Linked DNA regions of Macaca mulatta. The protein of the gene in region 3 purifies or fractionates together with the protein of the main gene of each other region. This does not show direct contact. Links are inferred from orthologs where the notes say so. Each region holds a gene or a part of one and is shown on either strand. Other genes may lie near its edges.

The links.
Region 1: the proteins of RAB11B (region 3) and RAB11FIP1 purify together in Homo sapiens (affinity purification with mass spectrometry; 3 studies listed by BioGRID and IntAct, counting the BioPlex papers as one, with this or other methods). This does not show direct contact. The link is inferred for Macaca mulatta from reciprocal best matches to the Homo sapiens genes RAB11B and RAB11FIP1.
Region 2: the proteins of RAB11B (region 3) and PI4KB purify together in Homo sapiens (co-immunoprecipitation; 3 studies listed by BioGRID and IntAct, with this or other methods). This does not show direct contact. The link is inferred for Macaca mulatta from reciprocal best matches to the Homo sapiens genes RAB11B and PI4KB.

The regions. Positions count from the first base shown.
Region 1 is NC_133413.1:39,830,315-39,834,612, forward strand, and holds the start of RAB11FIP1 (rab11 family-interacting protein 1), read right to left. Parts: upstream 2,911-4,298; 5' UTR 2,855-2,910; coding exon 2,484-2,854; intron 1-2,483. UniProt on the Homo sapiens protein: A Rab11 effector protein involved in the endosomal recycling process. Also involved in controlling membrane trafficking along the phagocytic pathway and in phagocytosis. Interaction with RAB14 may function in the process of neurite formation.
Region 2 is NC_133406.1:115,778,196-115,781,835, reverse strand, and holds part of PI4KB (phosphatidylinositol 4-kinase beta), read right to left. Parts: intron 2,474-3,640; coding exon 2,364-2,473; intron 1,493-2,363; coding exon 1,388-1,492; intron 1,134-1,387; coding exon 1,010-1,133; intron 1-1,009. UniProt on the Homo sapiens protein: Phosphorylates phosphatidylinositol (PI) in the first committed step in the production of the second messenger inositol-1,4,5,-trisphosphate (PIP). May regulate Golgi disintegration/reorganization during mitosis, possibly via its phosphorylation.
Region 3 is NC_133424.1:9,236,258-9,240,644, reverse strand, and holds the start of RAB11B (ras-related protein Rab-11B), read right to left. Parts: upstream 2,802-4,387; 5' UTR 2,737-2,801; coding exon 2,697-2,736; intron 482-2,696; exon of another isoform or gene 352-481; intron 1-351. UniProt on the Homo sapiens protein: The small GTPases Rab are key regulators of intracellular membrane trafficking, from the formation of transport vesicles to their fusion with membranes.

The DNA.
Region 1 (4,298 bases), on a different chromosome or scaffold from region 3:
GTTATCGTGTAGGTTTAGGGTTACATTGGATAAAATGAGAAAAATGAAGATGCAGAGACTGAACTCTTCCTGAAAAAAAGAGCTCAAGGAGGTTTCAATCTTTCACAAAGCAGTTACAGAACCTTTTCAATCACTTCTTGAATACATTGGCCCCATTAATCCAGGAACCCGGAAACATCTTACAAACATCAATTAAGTCTGGCAACATGCTTTATTTACAAATAGGGAAACTTGGCTGTTTAGGGACAGAGAAGCCCAACAATGAGTCAGGGCCGCTGTGGGCACTGGACCCGGGACTCTGGAATCTCCATCTCTGGCAGGGAGATGTGATCTACCTCTCAAGGGGATAAAATGTCCACATAAGAAACAGGTGGCAGAGAAGGAAGTGAATACACACTTGTTGGGATGGCGCAAGACAATGGATGGCCAACAGCACCCGTCTGAAGCTGGAAGGGAAGCTGACCCACCGCCCCCAGTGTCATTTAATCAGAGGGAAGATCAGCATTGCTGCAGCCCCTCCTTAGCAAAAACACTGCTCACCTTATGGCTTGTAAATTGATGCTGTGAGATACCCCACATCCATCCTCACATCAAGGCTGGTTTTATCTGATTTGAGTTCAGAAATGCCTGATCATCTTTGGCCAGGTAAGTGCATCATCAGATATTCCATTTGCAAGCCTACATGCTGAAATGGAACCCACCCCACAGTAAAGGGAGCCTCCGAGGACAAACCCTCTGGCTTTTCCTGTCTCCCTCACAAGGGAAAGTTAAAAGGCTATGTATATCTAAAACACACAAAGCGAATCAGTGTGCTTCCTAAACTGTAGGCTTTTGGTGCTGACTGGCCTGCATATTTAAGATCTAACAAAGTAACCAGCTAAGCTAATCGAGGCTAGCTTTGGTATACTAGATGAATATAATCAAACGTTCCTTTGGGTGAAGTACTGCCCTTTCCGAACACCTGTGAAAGGGAACAAGTAATTCGGTAATATCATGGAGTGAATGGTTTTTGCCCCATTTTTACTGCGGAAGTGAAATACCGTGACACAATCTTTGGGAGCTACATCCACCAGGATTAGGACCAGAGAGAATAACTCTACCAACTCCAAAAAGAAACAATGCCCAGTTCTGCTCGGCCAAGGGCCCATCCGGGCTCCCTCCAACCCGGGGAAATATTTACTAACGTGGGGCCCAGGGCACACACCACACTGTTGTAACATTCTTTCTGGAGGGGCAAATTCTCTTCACCAACCCCCCAGGCAAGTACAAGGTAGAAGGGGTTAGCAGTCAGGTGACAGCCCGCATACACCATTCCCCTCCCCCAACCTCCACCCGCCCTGCATTGTAAAGGCGTTGCCCCTGGGGTTAGCCTTTAGGGCGGGGGTGTCAGCTGGTTTCATGTCAGCTGGTTTCATGCCTCCGGTTCATCTGCCCTGAGCCCTGGCCCAGTCATTCTGGGCTCGAAGTGTTCTTCCATTCAGTGAAATACCCAGGAGGCCTTCCACCCAAGCGAAGACGAGTATCAGACAGGGACTACCACCCTAGTAAGAAGGCACCTGCCCATGTTTAGTTGGAATTCATCTCAAATTCACTTAGTGCTTACTGTGTGCCAGACGCTGAGGGGCGTCCTGCAGACTCAAAAGCGCCCCAGGCCGGGCGCGATGGCTCACGTCTGTAATCCCAACACTTTGGGAGGTCAAGGTGGGCGAATCACCTGAAGTCAGAAGTTCGAGACCAGCCTGGCCAACACGGTGAAACCCCGTCTCTACTAAAAATACAAAAATTAGCCGGGTGGGCCAGGCGCGGTGGCTCACGCCTGTAATCCCAAAACTTTGGGAGGCCGAGGCGGGTGGATCACGAGGTCAGGAGTTCAAGACCATCCTGGCCAATCTAATGAAACCCCATCTCTACTAAAAATGCAAAAAGTAGCCGGGCATGGTGGCGCACGCCTCTAGTCCCAGCTACTCGGGAGGCTGAGGCAGGAGAGTCGCTTGAACCCGCGAGGCGGAGGTTGCAGTGAGCCGAGATCTTGCCACTACACTCCAGCCTGGCGACAGGGTAAGACTCCGCCTCAAAAAAAAAAAAAATTAGCTGGGCGTGGTGGTGCGCGCCTGTAATCCCAGCTACTCGGGAGGCTGAGGCAGGAGAATCACGTGAACCAGCGAGGCGAAGGTTGCAGTGAGCCGAGATCGTGCCATTGCCATTTGCACTCCAGCCCGGGCGACAGAGACTCTTTTAAAAAAAAAAAAAAAAAAAAAAAAAAGCGCCCCAGACACGGCCCCTTCTTCCAAAAAATCCCAAAGCTGGGAGAGCTGGGCGGGACAGAAGGGAAAGCCAGGTGACCAGCACCGGCCGAGGGCTCAGTCCCGAAAGGCCTTCCTTGACGCTGCCCGGCTTACTCTCGAAGGGTCCAGAGCCCAGACCTCCCTGCTAGAGGGGTCCGCGCCCCCAGGAAGGGCCCTCCCCTCCCCGCCCGTACTCACTGCGTCTTCTTGCGGCCCTGGTCGCGGTGCAGATCCCGCAGGTCCACCTCGGCGCGGCCCAGGAACTTGTCGAGGCCAAGCAGCGCGCGGTGCAGCACGGTGAGCTGCAGGGTGGCGGCGGCCGCGGGCCCGGAGGACAGCAGCGGCGGCAGCTCGAAGGTGGCCTCCTCGCGCCACACAGGCGCGCCCAGGCTGCGCTCCGACACCGAGGTGGCGTACTTCTCCTTGCCCACCTGGATCACCGCGTACGCGTCGCTCGTGCCCCCGGGGCCCTTGGCCCGCAGGCCCCGCGCCTGCAGCACCGTCACCTGCACGTGGGTTGGGGACCACACGGCCCCCAGGCCCCGGCCCGCCGAGGCCATTAGGGACATGGTGACGATAACGCCCCAGACGCGAGGAGAAGATCGCGGCGACTGGCGGCCTCTACGGCCAGCCCCGGCAACCAGGCCACTTTAAGGCTTCCGGCCACACCCCCGCCAGGCCACGCCCCTCACGGCTAAGGCCACGCCCCTGCCCGAGCCGCCTGCTCCACCTGCTGCGCCGCGCCGCGCCCCGCCCCGCCCCACCGGCCTCAGCAGAGCCGGCAGCTCGGGGCAGCCGGGCGCCGCAGGCGGGGCTGGCGTGGCCAGGTAGGCGGGGGAATCACGTGGACAGGGGCGGGTGCATCGAGAATCCGATCTGAGATGTGGTAGGTGACGGATGGGGTCCCCAGCTGCCAAAGGTCGCGCGGCGGGAAGGAGCTGGCCGAAGCACTGACTTGGAAGTCAGACCTCATTTCCTGGGTCACATCGCCAGTCGTGGCCTTGCGCGGGTTACCTAACGTCAAGTCTCAATTTCTTCACCTGACAGGCACCTCCTAGGATTGCTGTAAAAAATAATAATAATAATGCATTACAGTTCTTGGCCCAGTACCTGGCTCATGGTGAGTTGTCAGTAAATAACCATGACCAGCACGTTGAGAGGCTGAGACGGGAGGCTCTCCTGAGCCCAGGAGTTCGAGACCAGCCTGGACAACATAGCCAGATTCCCGTCAATACAAAAAAAATTAAAAATAATTAGATGGGAGTGGTGACAAGCGCCTGTGGTCTCAGCTACTTGGGAGGCTGAGTCTGGAGGATCTCTGGAGCCCAGGAGGTCGAGGTGCAGTGAGCCGAGATTGTGCCACTGCACTCCCAGCCTGGGCAACAGAGCAAGACCTTATCTCAAAAAAATAAAGTTGGTAACTATGAGGGTGCTAAGGAAGATGCCCACCCAATTCACTACGCTTTCTACTTCTCCCGCTGGAAAGCCTTGCTCTGGAGGAAGGCAGCTGCAGAGGAAGGTGAGGACCTTGTGAGGGCTGGAAAAGGTGAAGGTATCCTGGGGGGCATGAGTTCAATGTGGGAGTGTCCTATTTTGCCCTCCCCTCACCAGATAAGGCAAGGCTGAGTTAGAAAAAGGGAAGAAAGGAGGAACTGAAAATGGGATTGCCAAATCAAACATCGGGACAGTGGCAGGCCCCTAGCCCGCAGTTCCCCATTTCTCCCTTGCCAGGCCCTCTTTAGTCTCTCCCTGCCTCTATCCCTGGGCTCCCAGGCAGTCCTTTTCTTGTTCCAAATGCCTAATAGATTGGCTGCTTCCCTTCATTTCCCAGGTCCTAGTTCAAAGGCTCAACTGTTCAACTGAGTCATCAGATTGGAAAGGTCACTTGGAAGGTTTTAAAGTTTTACAGTTAAGGAAAGGCTCAGAAGAGAGGAGTGACATGTCCAAGGTCCCTCTGCAGAGCTGGGACTGGGATCCCAGTGTCCTGACTCCCAATCAGCTGTTCAGTGCATC
Region 2 (3,640 bases), on a different chromosome or scaffold from region 3:
CTGGTGGTCCCCTGTTCCCAGGAGGTCACCATATTGATGACGAACTTAGCATGGACACCCAATTGGCATAGCGGACTATAGCCCAGAACTCCTGGGCTCAAGACATCCTCCTGCCTCAGCCTCCTGACTAGCTGAGACTACAGGCCCATGCCAGGGTGCCAGCCCATTTTGGAAGTTTTGATCTAAAAGGCAAACCTAGCACTCTAAAGTTCTGACTTGGAACAGGGCAGGTGCAAGTCACAAAAGGGCCAAAAGAGGCCGCTGTGGAGTTGTTCCTATGGCTATTCTTCCCAAGGGAAAGTTGCCTAGCTTTTCTTTTTTTTTTTTGAGACGGAGTCTCACGCTGTTGTCCAGGCTGGAGTGCAGTGGCGCGATCTCGGCTCACTGCAAGCTCCGCCTCCCGGGTTCCCGCCATTCTCCTGCCTCAGCCTCCTGAGTAGCTGGGACTACAGGCGCCCGCCACCGCGCCCAGCTAATTTTTTGTATTTTTAGTAGAGACGGGGTTTCACTGTGGTCTCGATCTCCTGACCTTGTGATCCGCCCGCCTCGGCCTCCCAAAGTGCTGGGATTACAGGCTTGAGCCACCGCGCCCGGCCGCTTTTCTTTACTCTGCTTTTGTTTTAGACCTGGGCAGGAAGGTGAGAATAATCTGTGTAGTTACCTCAGGTTGGCTGGAGTTGTGCTGAGTTCCCCTCCTCTCTCTTTTTTTTTTTTTTTTTGACAGAGTCTTGCTCTGTCGCCCAGGCTAGATTGCAGTGGCGCGATCTTGGCTCACTGCAACCTCCGCCTCCTGGGTTCAAGCAATTCTCCTGCCTCAGCCTCCTGAGTAGCTGGGATTACAGGCGCCCGTCACTGTGCCCAGCTAATTTTTGTATTTTTAGTAGAGACAGGGTTTCACCATCTTGGCCAGGCTGATCTTGAGCTCCTGACCTCGTGATCCAACTGCCTCGGCCTCCCAAAGTGCTGGGATTACAGCCACTGTGCCTGGCCTCTCCTTCTCTTCTCTTACCTGCAGTTGCTTCAACACCTGAAAGGCCAGAAGCTCTTGCCGAAGGTCATCCCCACACTTGACAATGACTGACAGGAGCCGCCAACTGGGGAGATGGCCATAGGGGGAGCCCTCTCTGATCCTCCTGTGAGGAGAGAAGTAAAGGGTGTCAAAGGTTGATGCCACGGTGAGGACAAGAGACATAGCTTCCACAAAAAATTCCAAGCAAATGCCCCATAGGGCAAGGACCCAGACAGCCTGCGAGTCTGACAGATTTTTTTGGAGGCTGCGAGTCTGACAGATTTTTTTGGAGGCTGATGGACAATAAAGTTGGCACAGTGAGCCCCTGCAACTGCCTCTGAGCTTTAAGAGGTGTTCAGAGACCCACACCCAACTCACCGTACTTTCTCCTGCCAGGGCTCTTTGAGAGCAACTGCAGAAGGATCTTCTGGGTCTCGTTTGAAGGCTGTCGGGGTATGAGCCAGCTGTTCCGAAAGGCGCCGGCTGTGAGGAAGAAAATACATCATTTGCTTGGAGGAGCTACCCACAAGCCCCATGCCATCTATACTGACATTTCCTGCACTGTCTCCTGGATTCTGGGCACACTAAGATAGGAACCCAGGCTGAACGGGACTCATGGAAGAAAACATAACCAGTGACACCTTTTTGCTAACTTAGTGATTGTAGTCATGTTAAAATTAAGATTACCAGGCACTCCATATTCCTCTATCAAGACTGATTCAGAATGGGTGTCTCTAGAATCTGCATTTTTTTTTTTTTTTGGACAGAGTTTTGCTCTGTCTCCCAGGCTGGAGTGCAGTGGCATGATCTCGGCTCACTGCAAGCTCCACCTCCCAGGTTCACATCATTCTCCTGCCTTAGCCTCCCGAGTAGCTGGGACTACAGGCGCCCACCACCACACCCAGCTAATTTTTTGTGTGTATTTTTTTAGTAGAGATGGGGTTGCACTGTGTTAGCCAGGAGTCTCGATCTCCTGACCTTGTGATCCACCCACTGCGGCCTCCCAAAGTGCTGATATTACAGGTGTGAGCCACCGCACCTGGCCTAGAATCTGCATTTTCAACAAGGCCTCCTTCCTCCCTCTGGATTCTGACAAACAGTCGCTTTGAGACCACACTTTGAGACACACTGCTCGAACTCCTTCCTGGGGTGCTTTTTTTTTTGAGATGGAGTCTCGCTCTGTTGCCCGGGCTGGAGTGCAGTGGTGCCATCACGGCTCACTGCCAGCTCCGCCTCCTGGGTTCATGTCATTCTCCTGCCTCAGCCTCTCGAGTAGCTGGGACTACAGGCGTCCGCCACCACGCCCGGCTAATTTTTTTGTATTTTTAATAGAGGCAATATGATCTGGCCATACCGGATGTCCCCTGCTGCAATGAACACAGGCTCCTTGCTCTCCTGGCTAGTGATGCTGTCCACAGAGAACTGGGAGATGTTGTCACAGCTGTTGGTGTGCACTTCGGGGAGCTGGAGATAGCAGGGGAGTGCTGGTCAGAAGTGCTAAGTATAGGTCTCCTGTCTTTCCCCTCCTGCTTGCTTGCTATCGATGCAGCATGCTCATCCCTCCCTTTCAAACTCTGCTTACACACCATGTTGATTACTTGGACCCCAGGCTGCCCAGAGCAGCATTTCTCAACATGTGAACTACCTGCATCAGAATTACCCGGAATGCAGACTCCCAGGCCCCACCATCAATCTGAATTAGAATTACTGGGAATGGGATCTGAAAGTCTGAATTTTTAACAAGTTCTCCAGAAGACTTCCAATGCACTGAAGTTTGCAAACCACTGCCAGGACCATCACAGGAGCTCAAAATTTCAGCCTCACTGAGAACCCCCCAAGGCTAGGGATATGTTCTCCCCTAGGGTCCAAAGCAGACCCTCTACAGACTAGCTTCTGACAGTTTCTTCAATCTAAGTCATTCAATCTTATCTTCTCATCTCTCTCTAACTACAGAATATTCTACCAGACCCCAAGGCCCACGTCAAGTCTCTTCTCTCCTTTATACCAGAGCATTTCTTCTCAATTCTATTTGTCACCTAGTACACACTGCTTTGTTGTATATCTAAATTTTTTTTTTCTTAAATGTCTAATGTCTCCAATTGGACTGTAAACTCAAAGACAGAGATTCTGTCTTTTGGCAGAGTGAAACCTGGCTGTGTGTTTTTTTTTGTTTGTTTTTTTTGAGACAGAGTCTCGCTCTGTCGCCCAGGCTGGAGTACAGTGGCCAGATCTCAGCTCACTGCAAGCTCCGCCTCCCGGGTTCACGCCATTCTCCTGCCTCAGCCTCCCGAGTAGCTGGGACTATAGGTGCCTGTCACCTCGCCCGGCTAGTTTTTTGTTTTTTGTTTTTTTTTTTTAGTAGAGACGGGGTTTCACCATGTTAGCCAGGATGGTCTTGAACTCCTGACCTCAGGTGATCCACCCACCTTAGCCTCCCAAAGTGCTGGAATCACAGGTGTGAGCCACCACACCTGACCCTGGCTGTGTTTTTGGTTTGTTTTGTTTTAAGACAGGGTCTCACTCTGTCGGCCAGTTTGGAAGGCAATGCTGTGATCTCGGCTCCCTGCAGCCTCCGCTTCCCAGATTCAAGTGATTCTTGTGCTTCAGCCTCCCAAGTAGCTGGGATTACAG
Region 3 (4,387 bases):
TTAGGTACAAATCAACAGTGTCGTTCCTGGGGGAAGGAAAGAACATTCACAGAGGAAAACAAACAGCACACAGGGCATCACCCGGGGGATCTGCTGGCCTCGGCCGCTGAGGTCAAGGGAGCCAGTGCGTGATGTGGCCACCAAAAAAAAAAAAAAAAAACAAGGCAGAGGCCAGGTGTGGTGGCTCATGCCTGTAATCCCAGCACTTTGGGAGGCCGAGACAGGTGGATCACCTGAGATCAGGAGTTCGAGACCAGCCTGGCCAACATGGTGAAACCCCGTCTCTACTAAGAATACAAAAATTAGCCAGGCATGGTGGTGGGTGCCTGTAATCCCAGCTACTCGGGAGGCTGAGGCAGGAGAATCGTTTGAACCCGGGAGGCGGAGGTGGCAGTGAGCCAAGATTGCGCCACTGCACTCCAGCCTGGGTGACTAGAGTGAAATTCTGTCTCAAAAAAAAAAAAAAAAAAAGAAAAGAAAGAAAGGAAACAGAAAAAGAAAGACAAATATTGAAAAAGAATAGAGGAGGTCTTCTGATGAGGCACAGCTGTGAAGGTGAGACGGCAGATGACCAGTTTGGGAAAGGCTGACCTTGTGCGTTAGATTTTTGCTACCAACTGGCTTGAGAAGGTCAGCAGGGCACCTGCTTAGACTCAGTAAAAGGAGGCCAGTGTGGGGAGGGCAGCAGGGCAGGCCCCCCCCCCCACACTGCCCGCCCGCCTGCCAAATGGCAGCTGCCGCAGGAGCTAGATCAGTGTTTCCAGGAGGCAGTCTCTGCAGACGGGTCCCGGGACCACACAGCCTCTCCGTTGCTCCTGACCCAGTAACTGTTCTGCTGGGAATGTACTTCAAGGAAATAACCCAAAGGGCAAAATCATGACTTGGGCAAACACTCGGAGCTGGGGTCATTTAAAACAGCAAAAGGGCGAAAATAACAAGCAGGGGATAACCACAGAAACCTGGACAGGGCACGTGGGGAGCAACACTCCCTGCCCTGGCAGTGCCACATCTGGGTGGGTGCCCAGCCAGGACCTGAGAGCAGCTGCCTCAGGAAGGGCTGAGTGGAGATGGCACCCGCCCAGCAGAACCCAAAGTTTGGTCCCCCTGTCTCCAGATGGCCCCTTAGAATCCCAGTCCCCAAAACCCTTCCAAAGCTTCCTCCTGCCATGAGGGCGAGACCTGGGGCCTGGCACCTGCCAGCCACAGAGCCTCACCCACCAGTGATATTATCAACCTGTGTGCAGTTGCCAGAGCCCTCAGTGCCGCAGGACGACTTCAGAGTCTTGCAGAGACACTTCCTCTCCCTCTCCACCGAAGGCTTTCGCCTCACGGACAGCTCAGGTGGGGAGACCTCTGCCCATTCCCCACAACCACAAGACGCTGGATGAGACCAGACGCAAGGCCCAGCTAGGCCTGGTGCAAGTCACAGAGCACGCTCGGAGGAACGGCTCAGCGAGGCGAGGATACCAACAGCTGATGTGGGACGCAGGCCCTTATAGAGCAGGCTGCAGGGTGAAGGCACCCTGGATCCAGGGGTTAACCCTCAAGGGCTGCCATTGTCAGCCAGGGAGCCCAGCAACCAGGGCAGACGACTAGGCGAAAGTCTAGCTGGGCATAGAAGGCTCAGCTGAGAAACAAGGGACTCCAGCTTCTTCCAGCAGACCGGGCAATGGCTGCCTGATCTGACTAGGCTTTATTTGATGTTCCTAGAGCCCCCTCAGTCTCTCGGGCGGGGAAGACCCTCCAACAGGCTGGCTGGGGCCCCGGCCATCAGTGCGCACGTTGGAAGAAGGTGGTCTAACAACCCCAAGTCCTAGATGCTGGCCACAAGCCCCTTAAGACACGCTTCCTAAGTGGTAAAGCCCACAGGTGGCCTGCGCTCAATCGGGCTCCAACACTTTATAAACTGTGTCTTTGTCACTCTGGGCTTCAGTTTCCCAATGTGTAAAAAGAGAGGCTGGTTAATATCAACCTCAAAGGGCTGCAGTGAGGATTTAAGTTCGTTTGCGTAAAGTGCTCAGAAAAGTGCAGGTACTGGCTTAGCGCCGTTGAGAGTGCTAAGTGAAGAGATGGAATTCTTGCTGCACACACGGATACCTTTCCACTCAATCCCAGCTCTGCACCCCAATCCAAGACTCCCACCACCACACACCTCACCCCCAGGCCCTCATCTCGGCCCAGCCCCCATTGTCTGCCCCGCCTATCCCGGGCCCCACCCCCAAACATGCTGACCCAATCAGGACTGGCCTCGTGAGCCCCGCCCCCACTTACCAGGCCCAACCCACCTATTCGTCACACCCATCAGCCTTAGCCCGCCTCTAAAACCCCGCCCCCATTCCGAACCACGCTTTCAGCCCAGCCCGGCCCGCCAAATCCTGGGAAGGCTCCACCCCCTCCGGAGGCCCCGCCCTAACGGCCTCTCCCACCGCTCCGGGCCCCACCCCCGCTAGGCCCCAGCCCCGCCCCAGCGCATCCTGGGTCCCCCAGGTCTCTCCGGGCCTCTGGCTCCGCATGGCCGCGAATCCTAGCTCGAAGCTGATGGAGCCCGGTCGGCCCCGGCCTTCCCGGCTGCCTGACCCGCCGGGCCCCAAGCCCCGGGCTCCGGACTGGGCCCAGCGGCCTGAAGCGCGGCCTTGGCCCGTCTGCCCGCCGCCTCGCCGCAACGCCCTAGCCCGTCTGTGCCCCACCGGCCGCACCTTTGAATAGGTAGTCGTACTCGTCGTCCCGGGTCCCCATTGTCCTGGCGCTTCCGGCGGGATCGGCAACTCCGCAGCCCCACCACAAACACTCGACGGGGGCGGAGCCGGCGCCGCGCAGAACGGCCGTTGAATGGCCTATCAGCGGCGGGTGGGGTAGCGACTGGCACCTAGCGGAGCCAATCAGAGATGGAAGTAGTGCTCTGAGGGTGGGCGCCGCTTGGTATCCACCCTCCTCGCCCTCGGTGTCCTGGAGAAAGGCGGAAGGAATGCGGACCTTTTTGAAGTGACGGTCGCGACAGCCTATTAGAGGCGAGCTTAAGAGGGCGGGGCGGAAGGCTGCAGGAATGAAGTGGAATGACAGACCAACTAACCAATGAGAGGCTGGATTGAGAACCTAGCCGACTATCAGAGGACCTGTCCGGGAAGGGAAATGGGGGTACGTCCAGGTGATGCTAAGATTCTTAACGTCCCGATGACGTCATAGGTCAGCGAGCGCTGCCCTGGCTTCGCCCCCCCAATCCCATAAATGATCATTTCCGGGGACCTCAGCGCTGGGTCCCCTTTGTCGGTTGTAGTTTCCATCTCTATTTTGGGACTCACTGGGTTATCCTTCTATGCCTCAGTTTTCTCCTCTGTAAACTGAAGAAACCCACCTCATGGAATCTTTTGAAAATAACCAGATCAGCTGGACGCGGTGGCTCACGCCTGTAATCCCAGGACTTTGAGAGGCCGAGGCGGGCGGATCACTAAGTCAGGAGTTCGAGACCAGCCTGACAAATATGGTGAAACCCTGTCTCTACTAAAAATACAAAAATTAGCCGAGCGTGGTGGCTTGCACCAAGAGTGAATCAACCGTCCACTTTCTGCTTTTCTTTGTTTAATAAATACTTACAAATCCTTATTGGGCACCGATGCTCTCCAACAGGACCTCCTACCCCTACCCCTCTTTATCCAATATTTTACCACATAGGTAAAATATAGGTAATATAGAAAATAAAACACATACTGCCGTATTGTCAGGTAGTGATAGGATTTATCACTACCTGACAATACAATATGTGTTTGTTTTATTTTATGTATTTAGGGCGTACAGCGTGCTGTTTTGATATACATGTACCCAGTGAAATAATTATGACAGTTTTTTGTTTTGTTTTGTTTTTTTGAGAAGGAGTTTTGCTTTTGTTGCCCAGGCTGAAGTGCAATGGTGAGATCTCGGCTCACCGCAGCCTCTGCCTCCTGGGTTCAAGCGATTCTCATGCCTCAGCCTCCTGATTAGCTGGGATTACAGGCATGCGCTACGGTGCCTGTCGAATTTTTTTGTATTTTTAGTAGAGACGGGGTTTCTCCATGTTGGTCAGGCTGATTTCGAACTCCCGACCTCAGGTGATTCGCCCACCTTGGCCTCCCAAAGTGCTGGGATTACAGGTGTGAGCCACGACGCCCAGCCAATTATGACAGTTAAGCAATTAACCTATCCATTGCCTTCCATAATTAACTGTGTGTGTAGTGAGAGTATCTACAATCTACTTTCTTGGCAAATTTTCAATATACAATGCAATATTACTAACACAAAGTATACATTACTTTTTGTTTGTTTTGGCTGGCTGCGGGGGCTCATGCCTGTAAACATGTCCTTTGAGGAGGATGAGGTGGGAGGATCACTTGAGGCCAGGAGCTAGAGACCAACC